Linked DNA regions of Neurospora crassa OR74A. The protein of the gene in region 3 purifies or fractionates together with the protein of the main gene of each other region. This does not show direct contact. Links are inferred from orthologs where the notes say so. Each region holds a gene or a part of one and is shown on either strand. Other genes may lie near its edges. The genes, in order: NCU01831, NCU01625 and prk-3.

The links.
Region 1: the proteins of prk-3 (region 3) and NCU01831 purify together in Saccharomyces cerevisiae (affinity purification with mass spectrometry; 3 studies listed by BioGRID, with this or other methods). This does not show direct contact. The link is inferred for Neurospora crassa OR74A from reciprocal best matches to the Saccharomyces cerevisiae genes KIN28 and SSL1.
Region 2: the proteins of prk-3 (region 3) and NCU01625 purify together in Saccharomyces cerevisiae (co-purification; 6 studies listed by BioGRID, with this or other methods). This does not show direct contact. The link is inferred for Neurospora crassa OR74A from reciprocal best matches to the Saccharomyces cerevisiae genes KIN28 and RAD3.

What each region holds. Positions count from the first base shown.
Region 1 is NC_026502.1:2,258,494-2,262,695, forward strand, and holds NCU01831 (RNA polymerase TFIIH complex subunit Ssl1), read left to right. Parts: upstream 1-1,402; 5' UTR 1,403-1,712; coding exon 1,713-2,242; intron 2,243-2,309; coding exon 2,310-3,189; 3' UTR 3,190-3,890; downstream 3,891-4,202. UniProt on the Saccharomyces cerevisiae protein: Component of the general transcription and DNA repair factor IIH (TFIIH) core complex, which is involved in general and transcription-coupled nucleotide excision repair (NER) of damaged DNA and, when complexed to TFIIK, in RNA transcription by RNA polymerase II.
Region 2 is NC_026502.1:2,932,368-2,936,428, forward strand, and holds the start of NCU01625 (DNA repair helicase RAD3), read left to right. Parts: upstream 1-1,236; 5' UTR 1,237-1,756; coding exon 1,757-1,773; intron 1,774-1,853; coding exon 1,854-1,894; intron 1,895-1,953; coding exon 1,954-1,983; intron 1,984-2,046; coding exon 2,047-2,549; intron 2,550-2,625; coding exon 2,626-4,061. UniProt on the Saccharomyces cerevisiae protein: ATP-dependent 5'-3' DNA helicase.
Region 3 is NC_026505.1:1,999,099-2,002,931, reverse strand, and holds prk-3 (serine/threonine-protein kinase), read left to right. Parts: upstream 1-1,320; 5' UTR 1,321-1,819; coding exon 1,820-2,015; intron 2,016-2,089; coding exon 2,090-3,117; 3' UTR 3,118-3,323; downstream 3,324-3,833. Other genes in the region: NCU03660 (FK506 suppressor Sfk1), read right to left, coding at 1-218, 314-340; NCU03658 (secretion pathway protein Sls2/Rcy1), read right to left, coding at 3,554-3,833. UniProt on the Saccharomyces cerevisiae protein: Catalytic component of the TFIIK complex (KIN28-CCL1 dimer) which is the protein kinase component of transcription factor IIH (TFIIH) and phosphorylates the C-terminal domain of RNA polymerase II during transition from transcription to elongation after preinitiation complex (PIC) formation, thereby positively regulating transcription.

The DNA.
Region 1 (4,202 bases), on a different chromosome or scaffold from region 3:
CTGGCAAAGCTCCAGGTACAGGTTTGTCCATCGTTTGGGGCCAAATGGCGTACACGATACTGCCCCTTTCCCATACAGAACCTGGAGGCGAATAAACCATTCCTTGGGCGCAGCGACCGAGGAGGACCATGAACAATCTGGCCCTTTTTGTGTGAAAATTTCGACCGCGTACGACTGATCGCGAGTTGGTTAATCAATTGCGCCCATACAAGCGGCTGAGGTATTACGTCAGAGGCGGCACAGGTCAGTCTTGGCCGTTGACCAGTGAGCGGGGATCTTTGGAAACCTCGGCCGAAGGTGCCGTGACGTAACGTCAATCCAGTTGGCGTTTCTTATTGGCCACCTGTCAGCGCGTAGGTCGCAGGCGAGCCACGATCAACCGCAGAGCTGGAACGGGCCGGCACGGGGCCGGCACATCTACATGTGCCTTACTACTAACGGCGAGGCTACTCCACGGCGCAACCTTTCATCGCATTTCACGATCCTACAATACCTCGCTACGAAGCTTCTGTCGGGCACATCACGCCAAGTACGCGGTCCGCTTTAAGGTCGCATCTTACTGCATTCCTTCATCGAGTATATGTACATAACTCGATGCAGTAATTAGCTTCGATCTTCTCTCCCCCATCTCCAGTAAGTATTGCTAGTTGTGCACTGCACTGTGACAGTTGTTTCGCTCAAGGTAAGGGTCGGTGTTTACCTGTTTCACCACATCACGAAACATGCGACTCACGCCATACGGTGTCTGTCTCGCTGGTGACCTTGCAGATTCATTGGACCACGATACCGAAACGGATATATGGACACATCAAAGCCGTGGACCCCATTCCGTCGTCTGGACTCTAGAATTCGGGAGAGCCCGTGCCCGGAATCCGGACCGGAACGGACAGTTGGACTCCCTGGCTGGCCGTTTTCCACGTGGGATTCCCATTTTGCCAAGCGATTTGACCGCACAAGTATCACGCACCCCCGCAGTACCGACGACGACCGATCCATGATTTATTTGAGCCTTGTATGCCTACATACTCTTTGAGGTTCTTGATTACTTCAACAGTCTGGTGAACCCCGGGCACAAGCATGTGAAAGTCGCAGGCCCCCGAAGGCATAGCCCTACATCGCCTCAAGACAATCCAGTGGCCCTTCTGGGTAGCGGGCACATCATGTAGTATATACTTGACACATATGCACGTCCTTTGAATGTCGTGACTCGTAACCAAGCTTCAAATCAGAGTTGACCTTCGCTTTGAAGTTGTGGTGGAACCAGATTTCGCTGTCGAATTTCGAGGCCCGTAGTTACACAAACGAGATGTCGGTACCCAGCACCGATCTGATTCGATTTCACAGGCCCCACTCTTCCTGCGAGGCTGCCTACATACACGAGTTCGCGCATTTGGGGAACAGCCTTGCAGTCCAGTAAACATTTCCGGCTTCCACCACACACCACGAACCTTTGTTCAGCTTGTGCATTCAACGTCGTCGCGTATCCCCTTTTCTCCATTCTTTCTTATTTCTCTCCGGCACTTTTTCAGCGCGACAACCAGTACCCGGCCTCCCGATCAACACCTACCAGGGAGTTGTCTACACGAACACGACTAAAGGCCCTGATTATCGAACTTCTGAACCTTCCACTCGTTTCGAAGTGACCCTCGAGCTTCTCCCACTAAGAGCGCCAGCTACTATCCGTCAAACTATCCCGACAAACATACGCAAACATGGCTGACTCGGACGGCGAGTACGCCTCCGACGATGAGCTCAAGAGGCATGGAAAGAGGACAGCGGACGGGCGCAGCAAGCAAACCAAGGCGTCATGGGAAGATGTTAAGCGCTCCTGGGATACCGTCTTGGAAACAGCGGACAGCGGCCTCTCCATCGCAGAGATTCGGGAGGCCGAGAAGCGGCGTCGCCTTCTGCGCGACACGACACCTCTTCAGCGTGGAATTATCCGCCATCTGATGCTTGTGCTCGACATGAGTTTCGCCATGGCCGACAAAGATCTGCTACCAAACCGTTACCGAGTCGTCCTAAATAACGCCATTGGCTTCGTACGCGAGTATTTCGAGCAGAATCCCATCAGTCAGCTAGGCATCGTGGGAATGCGCGATGGAATTGCTGTGCGAATAAGCGACCTGAGCGGGAATCCGGCCGAGCACATCGAAAAGTTGATGCAATGGAGCGAGCAACAAGACCCCCAAGGAAATCCGAGTTTACAGAATGCACTTCAAATGTGCCGAGGTGCTCTATAGTCAGCGCTACGGCCCACCCCCTCCGTGACAGAGGTCATTCGCTAACCGCTTCATGTTTTTGTACAGTCAAACGCCGTCACATGCCACGCGCGAAATACTGATAATCTACGGTGCCCTCGTCTCAATCGATCCGGGCGACATACACGACACCATCAACGACCTCGTAGCCGACCGCATCCGCGTCTCGGTCGTTGGCCTCGCCGGCCAAGTCGCCATCTGCAGCGAGCTTTGCAAGCGGACGAACAACCACGACGGCAACTACAGCGTCGCCGTAGACGAGGTGCACCTCAAGGAGCTCTTCTTCGCCGCCACCACTCCGCCCGTCACCCGCACGCCCGAGCAAAACACCGCCAGCCTGCTCATGATGGGCTTTCCCAGCCGCACGCTTGCTCCGAAAGACCATGTCAGCTTCTGCGCCTGCCACGCGAAGCCCACGCGCGAGGGGTACACCTGTCCGCGCTGCGGAATCAAAGTGTGCCGGCTGCCGATCGACTGTCCGATCTGCAAGCTGACGCTCATCCAGAGCACGCACTTGGCGAGGTCGTACCATCATCTGTTCCCGCTCAAGGTGTTTGTGGAGGTTCCGTGGTCTCAGGCGTATAAGTCGACGGCGTGCTACTCGTGCCTGACACCCTTTCCTGCTAGGCCAAGGGATTCAGTGGCGGCAGCGCCAGCTGTGTTAGGAGGGAGAGCCGGAGCTAAAGGTAGCGGGAAACAACAGGACGGCGAGCAGAAAAATCCAAAACCGGAACTCAAGGGTGTCAGCGAAAGCGGGCGGTATGCTTGCCAGGTATGCGGAAATCATTTTTGCATAGACTGTGATGTCTTTGCCCACGAGACTATTCATAATTGTCCTGGGTGTCAGAGCGATACGAGGGATGTGGAGAAGGATACGGCAGTAGCAGTACCAGACGGTGGCCCTACACCCATGGTGATGGATTCCTAGAGTGAGGAGCATGCTACAAATGGCGGCAGATGGAGGACAACAATTAGCCGCTCCGCTTGAACGTTTCAGATTCTTCGGGCGGAACCGAACCGGCCACTCTGGTTAAGAGCATCGATAGTATGGTATCGTGAACGAAAACGATACGATGACCCGAAACAGAGCAGTTTTAAGGGTATGGCGAACATATCTGTTACATGGAGGGGTTGGCGCTGCAAAGAACACGAAAATATACACGGCATCACGATCAAAATATACCCAGACGACTTGGCTAAGAAGAAAGTCCAAAGTGGAACTCCCAAAACCAAAGCTGTAAGGGACACCAGCCGAATAACTAGAGACGACGGGGTCATGGCTTCTTCATGCTCTTTACCAACAAGGCAGTGCAAAGGGATACTAGCGAAAGGGCTAAAGAAATGACGGGATCCAACAGATGTGAAATGGTCCTATGAATTCAAGAAGACGATTCGTTGGGTGTGGCGCATCTGTGAAGGAGATGGGAGACGGATATGGTTATGGAAGAATGATCAAGAAGACTCTTTGCGTATCGGTAGAGTCCCTTGTGACGAGGGGAAAGAGAGGACGGGCACGCAACGAATCATAGATGTGGAGTGATACGGCAATGTGAGATTTTGAGACCATACCAGCATCATCAAGTAGCGTACTAAAATAGCTAATCTTCATATGTCTACACGGTTCCGGTGATGTTCCGATAAAGGAAAAATCCTGCCCTTGAACAAATCGGACAAATTATATGCAAGTAGGTAGGAGTGCGTGGTGAAAAACGAGTGAAGAGCAGAATGCGAAAGGAACTTGTTGGGCGATCATGACTGGCGATTTATGAACAGGTCAACAAAATGTTTCAACCCCTCGTTTTCATTCGAAGCTAATACACCACCGTGAATTCGCTCATTACCTACAATTTCACATAGCTGATTTCAGAATGACAAAGTACTATGTAAGCACGTGTCAAAATCATCACATGATTTGCATAACTATGCCAAAGCTACTTTCAT
Region 2 (4,061 bases), on a different chromosome or scaffold from region 3:
GCGTTCGGGGAGTCGATTCAAATCCTCCGTCCTCCCTCCCTCGCCCCGATCTAGACTCAACGGCAGCAAGGGCGCGCCTACCTATCTACCTACATACACCCATCACCACGCACCCACCCTGAGTACCTCTGTGTAGATATGGAAGTAAGTCCGGGGCGAAGGATCGCAACCGCGCGGCGGGGTTTGGGAATCCTTCGGAAGTCTACCTACTTGGAATTGGGAACTTTGCTGCTGCTCCAAACCGGCGGTTAAGTAGTAATGAGCAGACAAGCGCCGCCGCCGCGATTTGATGAGCCCCGTTTTTCTTCCATCGTGACAGTCGCTGCTCGTATTCACTCATGCGCCAACAACCGCCGGTGGTGGCATACGAGAGTCGGGGTATCAAAGTCACCACCCAAAGTGGAATATGTACCTGGCAGTCAGTTGACGTTCCATGAAGAGTGGTGGGTGACTCCCGAGTCGATGTGGGAACTTTGAGCTCTTGGATTCCAACAACTACCTACGGGACAGCCACATAAAGGTTATGCTGAGATACTGCATGTGTGACTGAGAGATATGAAAGTGTTGAGGATCGCCGTGGTACTCCACGGACGGTATTGAAGTGAGAGGTGGAATTAATCTATTTGCTCCCGATCGTTGATTTCAAGCGTCTGAGATGATGAGGTTTCTCCCTTCTTGCAGCTTGTTTTGGCGCTTTCGTTTTCCCGCTACTTTGAAGGACCTGTCTTTCCATCGGTCGTTTTTTTAATCTTCCTTTTGAATAAGACCCATGGACTGATAGATAATCGGCAAGATGGCGATCCTTCGTACTGAGCGCGGAAGTACCAACACTGATAGTTATCGTATAATCCGAATCCGAGGAAATTCCAAGTCCGCCGATTGCTGTAGACTTGAAGCATTGCAATCACTAAGAGAAGACGGACTACCTCTATCAGCGCGGCCTGTGCACCAGTTTTTGAGCATGGAAGCGAGTGTGCGCAAAGGAAATATGAATATAGAGGCTGCTGAGGAAGTGGAAGTGACGATGAAGTTGTGGTGTTCCAGTCGTTTTTGAATGTGAAGGCCACAGTGCAATTGAACTATGAGAAAGACTGTGCGTGTGGGGGGTCCACACTCACTGCAGTCAATCCGGCATCAGCGGGCCGGCAACAAGCGTGCCGGACCGGCAGCAGCTCACCGTAAAAGTATCACCGTACCTGACCTTGTGCCAGATCCGGATTCCCAGAAACAGCACATCATTGATCCATCAAATCCACCGAGATCCTGTCCTGAAGCTGATCGCCACAGGCCACCGCCAGGCAACCTTGGCACGTGCTTTCTCGACTTCACAAATCTATACAACAACAAGCGCAATACAAACAGCCATAATAATAGAGATACGCGGTCTAGGGGAAGACCTGAGGCTGCATACTTGAGACAAGGGAGGAGGCCCCTTTGAATACCGAAGAACAGACGAACGACTGCCCCCGCCAAGACCCAAGATAGAAGCTCCAGCGTGCAGACACATGCCAAAAGTTGACCTCGATTTCACGACTTCTCGCTTCTCACCAAACCAAACATCGAAATAGAACATCAAACGACCATATTAAGCATCAGCCCTGTCGCACTTCTCCATCCGGACACCCGCGTCGATTAGATATTCTGCGACATAGTAAAACCAGCAAGAACATTCATCAACGTTGCTGCTGCCCGCGCAGCCATTCGTAATTCCTTCCCTTTGTCCGTGTATCCAAGGCCGTGATACTACACGCCCACCATGGAGTTCAACATCGAGTAAGAGCCAAATCCGAGATGACGCGTTCGCGTTCTTGGTCTGTAAAAAACCAGATAACTAACTTGCCGGCAAACAACAGCGATCTCCCAGTTCTGTTTCCTTACCCAAGGATATATCCAGGTATGTGAGCTCATCCACATTGGTACACCATCACAAGTGCTGACAGACCGACTACACAGAACAATATGCGTACATGGTGGACTTGAAAAGTGAGCATTCAACAAATAGCTCACACTCATCACACGTCCACTGACCACCACCACTCCCCACAGAAACCCTCGATGCAGGCGGGAACTGTGTCCTGGAAATGCCTTCGGGCACCGGCAAGACCGTCACCCTTTTGTCACTCATCGTCGCCTACCAGCAATACTACCCAGAGCACCGGAAGCTGATCTACTGCTCGCGAACAATGTCCGAAATCGAAAAGGCCCTCGTTGAGCTGAGAGCACTCATGAAGTTCCGAGCCGAGCGGCTGGGGCACGAAGAAGAGTTTCGCGGTCTCGGTCTGACAAGTCGAAAGAACCTGTGTCTGCATCCCTCGGTCAAGCGGGAGAAGAGCGGTGCCATTGTCGACGCGAGGTGTCGCAGCTTGACGGCCGGCTTCGTCAAGGAGAAGAGGGAAAAGGGGGAGAATGTGGAGACGTGCGTCTACCACGACAATCTCGACCTTCTAGAACCGCATAACTTGATCCCTAACGGAATTTGGACACTGGATGGCCTGATGAGGTATGGCGAGGAAAAGAAACAGTGTCCTTATTTCACTGCCAGGAGGATGGTAGGTCTCTTCTCAACACCCCAGGATGCGGATGTAATAGCTCGAGATGCCATACATACTAACAGCTCATATGTAGATGCAACACTGCAACGTCATCATCTACTCCTATCACTACCTCCTAGACCCCAAGATCGCCGAGCGCGTGTCCAAGGATCTATCCAAGGACTGCATCGTCGTCTTTGACGAGGCTCACAACATCGACAACGTCTGCATCGAGTCTCTAAGTACCGACATCACCCAGGACTCACTGATGAGGGCAACCAGGGGTGCTCAGAACTTGGAGGCCAAAATCAGCGAGATGAAGGACTCTGATCAAGAGAAACTTCAGTCCGAGTACGAAAAGCTAGTCGAAGGACTCAAGGGTCTAGATGAAGGGCGACAGGAGGATGCTTTTATGGCTAACCCAACACTACCCGACGATCTGCTCAAGGAGGCTGTCCCCGGCAATATCAGGCGAGCCGAGCACTTCGTTGCCTTCCTCCGGAGATTCATCGAATACCTCAAGACCCGCATGAAGGTCCGCCAGGTCATCTCCGAAACACCACCATCCTTCCTCGCCCACCTGAAAGAATACACCTTCATCGAGAAGAAACCGCTCCGGTTCTGCGCCGAGCGTCTAACCTCGCTAGTACGGACCCTCGAGCTCACCAACATTGAAGACTACCGGCCACTCCAAGAAGTAGCCACCTTTGCAACCCTCGTCGCCACCTACGAAAAGGGCTTCCTACTGATCCTCGAGCCCTACGAATCCGACACGGCCAAGACCCCGAACCCAGTCCTGCACTTCACCTGCCTCGACGCCGCCATCGCCATCAAGCCCGTCTTCGACCGATTCAGCTCCGTCATCATCACCTCCGGTACCATTTCCCCCCTTGAAATGTACCCCAAAATGCTCAACTTCGAAACCGTCGTGCAGGAATCCTACGCCATGACCCTCGCCCGCCGCTCTTTCCTCCCCATGATCGTCACCCGCGGCTCCGACCAGGCCTCCATCTCCACCTCCTTCCAAGTCCGCAACGAGCCCAGCGTCGTGCGCAACTACGGCAATCTCCTGACCGAGTTCGCCCGCATCACGCCCGACGGCATGGTCGTCTTCTTTCCCTCGTACTTGTACATGGAATCCATCATCTCCATGTGGCAAGGCATGGGCATCCTCGACGAAGTGTGGAAGCACAAACTCATTCTGGTCGAAACCCCAGACGCGCAAGAAACCTCGCTAGCGCTCGAGACGTACCGCACCGCCTGTTGCAACGGCCGCGGCGCCATCTTGCTCTGCGTCGCGCGCGGTAAAGTGTCCGAAGGCATCGACTTTGACCACCAGTACGGCCGCACCGTGCTCTGTATTGGCGTGCCCTTCCAGTACACCGAGTCGCGCATCCTCAAGGCCCGCTTGGAGTTCCTGCGCGAAACGTACCGCATCCGCGAAAACGACTTTCTCTCTTTCGACGCCATGCGCCACGCCGCGCAGTGTCTGGGGCGCGTCTTGCGCGGAAAAGACGACTACGGAGTCAT
Region 3 (3,833 bases):
CGGTCGGCGCCGAAGGAGAGGTCCAGGAAGACGGTGGTTACGGAACAGCCGGCGATGAAGAGGGGCTTCAAGGTGGAGGCGCCAACGTCGGAGATGTAGGCTATGGTTTGCCGCGCGTCCATGGAGGCATAGTGACGTCGGTTTTCGTCGGTGCACCAGTAGATGAGCAGGCCGAGGAGGGTGCCGAGCCAGACTACGCCGGAGATTATTGGAAAAATCTGGAAAAGGGGCATTGTGTTAGCTTAGCTTGGGGGAATGGGAATGAGAATGGGAAGAAGGAAAGGATGGATGGGGGGTGAAGGTGAAGGTTTACCCAATATGATAGTATCCCTCGCAACATCTTGACTGAGTTTGTTATTCTGTCTGATGTCTAGGTGGTTTGGTGTACAGAATATGATGTAACACGGGTTCTGTGCGCCCGCAGCTTCGCTAGTACACTAGGTGTAGATGCACGAGCAGAGATGCAGGAACAAGGAACGAGCGTGTAGGAGTTTGGACGAAGCACGTCCCGTCGTTACGAAGTGTATATGGTCGTAACTAAGAGACCTGAAAATCGTAGTCGTAGTAAAGAATACCCAAGGGTTGAGATGCTGACAATGGAAGCTTAAAGAATGTTGGAAGCTCGGTTGTCTCGGCAGCCACAGTCGACTGTTTGGGTGCTAGGTATGTATGTACCACGCTTTGTTGCTTGCGTGTCCAAGGTCGAGTGGAAGTTCGTTAACAACAAACTACAAGAAGTTCTGGATTGACACAAGGAAAAAAGAAAGTCAAAAGGGGAGTAAGTAGGACGAGATGAGATGGACTGCGCACAAGGGGGACCTTAAAGGGTTATCCCGGAGTTATGTTTCTGGAGTCTATTGTAATCTAGACACGCTATGATGCTTACTCTCGCGGATTACTTCCTTGTCTCTGCCATGGCATGGGTTTCGTTTTCATCATTGTTCTTTATTTTTTTCTAATCCTAGCCCAACGGATGATCTCCGGCTTGTGCCCGGCGCGCGGACTGATGTCGACGCCCGTCCACGAGGAGGAAGAAGCCTTCACACTGCCACTTTGGTTGGGTGAGAAGTGACGTCAGGGTCCAGGCGCCTGCTCATCCCTGTGGAGCACTGAGACTTTCGGGGTTTAGCGTGTCTCTTGCTGGTCTATCCTTACGGCTACAGGGGTCTTTGCTTGTTAGTGCTTACCTAAACGAGTTTGACGGTGTGACGGTGTCATCGGCGGGCTGGGCTGGGCAGGGCATCCGTCGCGCGGCACCGCGGCAGAGGTTCCCTTGATGGTGATATGCATATATATCATGATAAGATATCCAAGTTGATATGTGAAGAAACACTGCGGATGTTTTGATACCTTCTACCCTCAAAGACAGATGTCTTTTTATATATGTCGGGATGACTGAGAAACAAAAATGGAAATCGCTCTAGTCTCCAAACACCAGCGGGCAGCAGCGGACCCACAAGACATACGGGGATCCGGGCCTCCACTGGTTGACAGGGCCCTTCCACCGAACTCCATCCATCACAGCGCATCCATCTGCCAAAGCTTAATCCCACTCTCTCTTCCCTTATCCTCCGTCCTTATCTTAACTCCGTCTATGCAACGCTGCCTCTACGAAGCTGCCCAACACCATCAACAACAATAACAAAACAACAACTGAACAGCCACCGGTCGTTGATCTGCCGTTGACGCCCGACCTTCTCTTCCCATCGAGCCCGTCTTTTCCCCGCGATCTCTGGACTAAGTAGGTAATCGACTGTTTTGGCATCACTTTACACCGTCCGCCCGAGGGTTGAAGCACCCGAGAGAACCAGCCAGCAACATGGCGAACTCCCCTCTTGTTGCGCGTCCGACCGATGCGCTCCAGCCACCGAAATCCCTTCCGCCATCCAGCGGCGGCACCCCAAGCGGGGGACTTCCACGGTCGGCCCGGGGCCAGCAGATCGCCGCCTTAGCCCGCCCGACTATGGATCTGATGGAACAGATGAACGAAGACGAGAAGAACAAATACATCAAGGGTGCGTTGTACTCGGTCATACCAACTCTTCCAGTGGGAGTTTATCGAACTAACACATATTATCGTGCGCAACAGGCAAGAAACTCGGTGAAGGTACCTACGCCAACGTCTACCTCGGCCACTCCCGTCTCGACTCCTCAACACAAGTCGCCATCAAAAAGATCAAAGTCCAAAAGGAATACCAAGATGGCATCGCGCCCGACGCCATCCGCGAAATGAAGTACCTGCAAAAGCTTCGGGGCCACGCCAACATCATCATCTTACATTCCGTCTTTTCATCCAAGGACCAGAACCTCAACCTCGTCCTTGAATACCTTCCCCTCGGCGACCTCGAGATGCTCATCCGCGACGTTGACCACGTCCGCTACGGCGCCGCCGACATCAAAGCCTGGATGGGCATGCTGACTCGCGCCATCTGGTGGTGTCACGACAATTACGTGCTGCACCGCGATATCAAGCCCAACAACTTGCTGATCGCCGCCGACGGCGAAGTCAAACTGGCGGATTTTGGTCTAGCACGGAGCTTTGCCGACCCCGGCGTGCGAATGACGGCGAACGTGATCACCAGATGGTACCGTCCTCCCGAGCTGCTGTTCGGCGCCCGCCACTATTCGGGTGCCGTGGACATTTGGTCGGTGGGTCTGGTGTTTGCCGAGCTCATCATTCGTGCCCCTTACCTGCCTGGTAACTCGGAGGTTGAACAGATCGCCTTGATCTGCAGGGAAATCGGCACGCCGACGGAGGAGAACTGGCCTGGTGTTACGCAGCTGAAGGAGTATACGGTTCCCAGCGACGTGGTGCCCGTGGCGGGCAAGGACAAGTACATGGGTCGGTTTGGCGCAGTCGGGTCCGATGGCGTGGATCTGTTGACCAAGACGCTGGTTTTGGATCCAAGGAGGCGTATCACGGCGAGGGAGATGCTGGAGCATAGGTGGTGGAAGGCAGATCCCAAGCCGACGCCTAAGCATGACCTGCCGAAGAAGACGGCAGGGGCCGAGGAGAAGTTGGCGGCGGATTTGAAGAGACGGAATGGTATGGTGGAGGACGACGATGTGCGCGGCTCCAAGGTCGCTAGGAAGTTGGACTTTGGCACCGCGAGGTGAGGAGGCTATGGACGAGGGTTACAACTGAAGTATGATGACAAGCATTTCTGGAGAAGGCATGATCTACTTATGAAACGGATACACTGGGTTGGAAAGGTCACATACAGTATGCATGCACGGCATTGACAATATAGAGCAAGAGAAAGGCGTTTGGGCGCATCACACATATCATCAGTCCATAGACATCAAATCGGTTTTGAATCACATCTACGGGAGAGTCTCCTGACATGTAGCTCGTAAAGCGGAAAATGTGTATGTGATGCTTTGTCATTGATTGATATAACCCTCATATCCTATTTTCTCTAGGTACTTTTATTTTTATCATGCTCTTTAATCCAAAAAAAAGTAAAGATGCTCGCTATTCGTTAAATCTTCTTCCTCCACACTCTTTCTCCTATTACCAAGGAACACCCTTCGATGGTCCCTCCCTACAACCTCACATTACCAAACACTCCAGCCCATACATAGCCCTCTCCACCTCCTTCCTCACATTATACCAATCCGCCCTTCGTTCCGCATACTCGTACACCTCCTCGGCTCTAAACACGCCACTAAACCGCTCGTTATCCGCAATAATGGTCGCCATTTCTTTGGCATGATGCTTAGCATCAATCAGGTAAATCTGACTCAACTCCCTCAGCGCTTTGAAATATGCTAGCAGGTCTTGGTTTTTCAAGGTGCGGATGTACTCGTAGTAGAGATTCACGTCGGCAATG